2 linked regions of the Oryctolagus cuniculus genome follow. The protein of the gene in region 1 interacts with the protein of each later gene in a pairwise test. Links are inferred from orthologs where the notes say so. Each region holds a gene or a part of one and is shown in the gene's direction. Other genes may lie near its edges.

Region 1 (3,493 bases):
GGAGGAGGAAGAGGAAGGAGAGGAAGAGGAGGAGGAGGAGGAAGAAGAAGAGGAGGAGGAGGAGGAGGAGGAGGAGGAGGAAGAGGAGGAAGAAGAGGAACAGGAGGAAGAGGAGGCTCGGAGGCATGACCATCCCTATGACGACCCCAGGCCGTGAGCATCCTCCCCTTGCCCGGATGTGCACAGCTGGGACGCACAGGCTGCACCCCTAGCCCTGCTGGAGAGGCCATGGCTGGCTGGGAGCCGGGCCCCACGCCCCGCACCCTGACTCCCTTGCATCCCCCAGGCCCTCTCCGGAGGAGTCGCTGCACCACTGCCCACAGCTGGAGGCCCTGCAGCGGAAGCTGAGGCTGCTGGAGGAGGAGAATGACCAGCTTCGGGAGGAGGTGAGGCTGGGTGGGAGGGCAGGCCCTGGGGGCGGGCGCTGTTGACGCCCTGCCCCCTCCTCACTCCCTCCCTCTAGGCCTCTCACCTGGACACCCTGGAGGACGAGGAGCAGATGCTCATCCTGGAGTGCGTGGAGCAGTTTTGTACGTGCGGGTGCAGCCTGGGCTGGGGGCTGCCCCAGGAGTGCAGGGAGGCACCCGCGTTCTAGAGCCTGAGCTTCAAGCCCCAGCCCTGGCACCTCCTAGCTGTGTGGGCTCGGATGGTTCCTTGACCTCTCTGAGCCTTCTTCTTTACAAGGGGGTGTGGGGTGGGGTTAATAGTCCTGCCCCCATCCCTCAGGGCTTATGAGAATCCCCAGAGGCAACAGCTGAGGGAGTGCTTTGTGCAACGTGTAACGGGCTTTGCAGGGCCCTGGGGCTGCTCATCTACTGGAGGTAGCCAGGAGGGAGCCACGAGCTGCCAGAGGCCAGGCACACCGGGGCAGACTCCACACTGCCCTGGCCCCGAGCCTCTGGTCCAGCTGGGAGATGCAGGCCTCGGTGCCAGTGGTTGAACTCCTGTTGTCCCCTCACCCTGAACCTGACCTTCCCAGCTCCCCTGGGGAAGGAGCCAGCCCCCAGTTTCTGCTGCTTCTGCTCCCAGGAACGGCCTCAAGTCTCCTTGCTCCTCTGGGCTCCGGCTGCCTTTAGCCCAGGAAAATCACTAGCTGCCCCCTTGGAACGCTTTGGGTCTTCCAGACCCTTCTGCACACAGCCTAGCTGAGTCTTCTAAAACCAGATCTGACCATGTCACTCCTCCTGCTAACTCCCAGGCTTTGTGCTCTGGGCCCTGTCCGCTGCCCCAGCCAGACCCACGCGGTTCCCTCTGGGCCTGGCCGGTGTCTTCCCTTCTTTGCCTGGCCAAGCCTCTGCCCTGTGAGCTCAGCTCAGTGGTTCCTTCTCGCAGGAACCCTACCTGGGCCTTGGCAGGCTGGGTTGTGTGCTACAGTTATGACCCCTCCTCCCTGACCTTTGCCCCCCTCCCCACGACCTCCCCTTGACCTTTGCTCCATCATAACCTATGTAGATTGTTATTGTGAGTTTCTTTCCCCAGCTGTCCCCTACTAGACAAGCACAGTGTGGGCTGGGACCAGGCCTTGCTGACCACTGGCCCCAGTACCCTGCACGGTACCCAGAGGCGGATCAGGAGAAGCAGCTCTGGCGGGGGTGGGGAGGGGATGCTGAGCCCTCGGGAGCTGAGGGGTGGGTGACCTCTGACCTCTGCCCCCTCCCGCAGCTGAGGCCAGCCAGCAGATGGCCGAGCTGTCCGAGGTGCTGGTGCTCCGGCTGGAAAACTATGAGCGGCAGCAGAAGGAGATCACTCAGCTGCAGGCCCAGATCGCGAGGCTGCAGCAGCGCTGCCAGTCGGTGAGCCCGGGCGGGCGTGGGGAGCTTCCTCCCCGTGGCATGGCCCCTGGGGGCCCAGGCCTCTTCCCTGCCCCTGCCTCGTGGGGCTCTGGGCCCCTCTCCGTGTGAGTCAGAGCTGGAGGGGACGTCAAGGAGACACTCATCCCAGCGCCTCGTTGTCCTGAGGAGGGTCTAGAGGCTCCAGGAGCCAGGCCGCACAGCCCTCCGACCTAATCTGCCCTCCTCCCGTGTGGCTTCTAACTGCAGGGCTGCCCAAAATGCAGCCCGGGGTCGCCTTGCGGGGGGCCGGGGTGCCGTGCGGGCCTCGGGAGGGGCTTACTGGTCAGGTCCTTCCAGTATGGGGCTGAGACAGAGCCGCTGGCTTCAGAGAAGGGAATGCAGAGGTGAGGCTGCCCAGGCTGCTGGCCCTGCCCCTGCCCCGCCAGGCCCCGGGTCGGGTGGGGACTGAGGCTCCCGGCAGCCATCTGGCTCTCCTTAGAGGAAGAGCAGCCTGCAGGAGGGACTGGGTCCTGTCCTTTGCTCTTCCCTCTGTGTGTGGCCCAGGGTGCAGCGGGTGGTAGCTCAGGGAATTGCTGTTTGGGTCTAGAGCCTGGGCTTCTTGCCTTTTAGCCTAGGGCCAGGGCAGGCAAGAGTGTTGGGCTGGACGCACGTGGGTCCCAGCAGCTGCACGACGTGCGGGACAAGTACTCGGACTGCAGGGCCACACGCCAGGAGGAGGCGAAGACCTTCCGCCCGCAGCCCCCGATGTCCACCGGGTCGGTCACCCACTTCGCGTACAGCCTGCCGCTGGTGAGGACCCCTCCAGGGGGCTGCCTCTTTACCTCTGTGGGCCCTGCGTCTCAGCCCTGTCAGCTGCATTCTGTGCCTGGGGGTGTGAGTGGGGGTGCGGTGGGGTCCCCTGGTAATGTCCCCCCTGTTGGCCGTAGGGAGCACTTTCTGGCCTTCCGGCGTCCCTGGTTGATGAGCTCAAAATATCTATCGGGAGGATGGTCTCAGACCCCACGTATTTTACCGACAGGTGTGTTGCTGGGACCCCGGCCCCTTGCCTGACCCACACTCAGCCTCGTCCGTCCTGTGGGCAGCAGCCTTTCCTGTCGTGGGAGGGGGGCGGCCTTCGTGCTCGGCGCCTGCCTCCCTCCCTCTCTCAGCCCCTCCCATACTCGTGTGGTGTGGGATCCATCTTTTTTTTTTTTTTTTGGTGGGGAGAGGCAGATCCATCGGTTTTCCCTGGGACTTGTTGGCACGACAGGGCACCAGGGCGTTTGTGGTTCCAGCTTACATTGCTTCTGTGCCCACTTCTCTCTGTTGCAGGAGTTCCAGAAGGGCCAGGGGGGAGACACCAAACCAGGGGTAAGCTGGCCAGGGGCCTCCGCGTCACTGCCTGCAGCCGGCGCGGCAAGGAGAGTTGTGGGAGGGAGTGGCCCCCATTCCTTTGAAGCTTGCCCCCAGGAAGCTGTCTGCTTTAAGGTTGTGTCCAGGGGCTGAGAGGGGAAGAAACGCTGACCTAGGAACTGGGGACATCTGGGACTCAGTCCCCAGCTTGGTCCCATCCCATTGCTGGCTGGAAGTCCCACAGCCAGTGTCTTGGCCTGTCTGAGCCTTAGGACAATGGATTTGTTCCATGGCAACCAGCTGTGGGGTGGGTTGTGAAGGCGGAGGGACGGTTGGTCCTGCTGGGCTCTTCGGTGGGGTGAAGTGAG
Region 2 (2,637 bases), on another chromosome or scaffold:
AACCCGTTGTGCCAGCGCCACAAGGAGGAGGATTAGCCTAGTGAGCCGCGGCGCCGGCCGCCTGATATTTTTTCTACTCCAAAACATTTTTTTTAAAAAGAAACTAATTTAAATGTACATGATGTGACTTTGTTAAATACTATTTTTCTCTGATTCTAACTTCCTGATCTTAATTAACTTCATTTCTGTTGCCATGGAAACCAGCAATGCAGTTAATCAGATGCAAAGGTAGTGAGGTACACACAGAAGCATTCTATAAGTACAGAAACAACACTTACTTCCTGTGTGATTTTGTTCAGCAGCATACCCAAGGACTGTCCCAGCCTTCACAGTCAGTCCCCACCCCTCTTTTCTAAAAAAATTTATTTATTTGAAAGAGTTACAGAGAAGTCTTCCATCCACTGGTTCACTCCACACATGATCGCAACGGCCAGAGCAGAAACCAGGAGCCAGGAGCTTCTCCCAAGTCTCCCACACAGGTGCAGGGGTCCAAAGACTTGGGCCATCTTCTACTGCCTTCCCAGGCCAATAGCAGAAAGCTGGATCAGAAGTGGAGTAGCCGGGACTTGAACTGACACCCATATGGGATGCCTACAGTGCTGGTGCTTTAACCCGCTGCGTCACTGTGCCACAGTAGCAGCCCCCAATCACAGTCCTTTATGGCTGCAGCATCTGAGCCATTCCCAAAGGCCAGGCTATAGAAGCCAGGAACACTGATGGGAGTAGAGGTGGTTTCTTCAGCCACTAGGTGGCCACAGAGACAAAGCATGATTCAGTGTTTTGGTTTTTTAAAGACTTACTTATTTAAAGATTTATTTATTTATTTGAGTTACACAGAGAAGGAGAGGCAGAGAAAGGTCTTCCATTCACTTGTTCACTTCCCAGTTGGCTGCAATGGCCAGAGCTGTGCTGATCCAAAGCCAGGAGCCAGGAACTTTTTCTAGGTCTCCCGTGCAGGTGCAGGGGCCCATGGTCTTGGGCCATCCTCTACTGCTTTCCCAGGCCATGGGAGAGATCTGGATTGGAAGTGCAGCAGCTGGGACTTGAACCAGCGCCCATATGGGATGCTGGCTCTGTGGGTGGTAGCCTTACCTGCTATGCCACAGCACTGGCCCCAACTTATTTATTTGAAAGAGTTACAGAGAGAGGAGAGACAGATCTTCGGTCTGCTGGTTCACTCCCCAAATGGCTGCAATGGCCAGGGCTGGGACCAGGCCAAAGCCAGGAGCTTCATCCAGGTCTCCCACTTGGGTACAGGGGCCTAAGCACTGGGCCATCTTCTGCTGCTTTCCCAGGCCATTAGCAGGGAGTTGGGTCAGCAGTGGAGCAGCTGGATCTTGAACTGGCCCCCATGTAGGATGCTGGCATTGAATGTGGTGGCTTAAATTGCCATGCCACAACACCGGCCCCCCAGTGGTTCTTTTTTTTTTTTTTTTTTTTTTAAAGATAAATTTGAAAGGTAGAGTGGCAGGAGGTTGGGAAGAACAGATCTTCCGTCCATGGGGTCACAGCTCAGATGGTCACAGTGGGTGGGTTGGGCCAGGCTAAAGCCAGGAGCCTGGCTCTCCTTGTGGGTGATAAGGACTTAGCTGCTCCCCAGGTACACCAGCAGGAAGCTAGGTCCAAAGTGGGGTTGGGACTCAACCTAGCACTCCGATGTGGGATGTGGGTGTTCCAAGTGGTGGTTAACCTGCTGTGCCACAACACTTGCCCCAGTCGAGGTACATGTGCTTTGAGGAGCAGGCCAGTCATCGCATGTCCTTGGGACAGACTGTCTTGTCTGCTCACCCTGCACTCCCCGACAAGGCTGTGCTGCTGGTGCTGGAATGAAGTGTCTGAGCAGCAAGTGGCCACCTTGGGGACTGGCTGGTCTTTCCACCCAGAGTTAGGAAGGACTTACTCTTATTTTCTCTGTCACATACTCTCACCTGTATTCCCATCTCCCAACAGAATGGCTGATCTCTCTGAGCTCCTGAAGGAAGGGACCAAGGAAGCACATGACCGGGCAGAAAATACCAAGTTTGTCAAGGACTTCTTGAAAGGCAACATTAAGAAGGAGATATTTAAGGTTTGTGCTGTCAGTCACAGATGCGGGTGGGTTCCAGCCTCACAGGGTCAGGTTGGGGACTTTAGTCCCAAGGAATTGCTCTAAGGGAGCAACTGGGCCATTCTTCATGCTCCGTACTTTCTTGGCAGTAAGCTGTGCCTCTCCTCATGGCTTAAGTGGAATGACATAATGACATAAAGGAAACAAAAGCATCCATATCCCAAATAATTCATCATGTTTTTCCTGTGACACGAAAGCTTCCTGAGCATGTTAAATAATTCACTGTATTAAAACGAGTCAGGCTTGGGTCTTCAGGAGCTAGATGGTGCGTGTTGCCTGCTCCTTTGTAGCTGTTCAAACACGGTGAGTCTGGGCACTGCTGGCCAACCTGCAGCACATTCCAACAGTGTCTCTCCCTCCCCCCAATAGCTGGCCACCACCGCACTTTACTTCACATATTCAGCCTTGGAGGAAGAAATGGACCGCAATAAGGACCACCCAGCCTTTGCCCCCTTATACTTCCCCATGGAGCTGCACCGGAAGGAGGCACTGACCAAGGACATGGAGTACTTCTTTGGTGAGAACTGGGA

The links.
Region 2: the proteins of HAP1 (region 1) and HMOX2 interact in a two-hybrid assay, tested with the Homo sapiens proteins (2 studies listed by BioGRID and IntAct). The link is inferred for Oryctolagus cuniculus from reciprocal best matches to the Homo sapiens genes HAP1 and HMOX2.

The regions. Positions count from the first base shown.
Region 1 is NC_091448.1:20,964,771-20,968,263, forward strand, and holds part of HAP1 (huntingtin-associated protein 1), read left to right. Parts: coding exon 1-153; intron 154-286; coding exon 287-386; intron 387-463; coding exon 464-530; intron 531-1,662; coding exon 1,663-1,793; intron 1,794-2,402; coding exon 2,403-2,582; intron 2,583-2,719; coding exon 2,720-2,811; intron 2,812-3,104; coding exon 3,105-3,143; intron 3,144-3,493. UniProt on the Homo sapiens protein: Originally identified as neuronal protein that specifically associates with HTT/huntingtin and the binding is enhanced by an expanded polyglutamine repeat within HTT possibly affecting HAP1 interaction properties.
Region 2 is NC_091450.1:31,090,432-31,093,068, reverse strand, and holds part of HMOX2 (heme oxygenase 2), read left to right. Parts: intron 1-1,950; coding exon 1,951-2,068; intron 2,069-2,476; coding exon 2,477-2,637.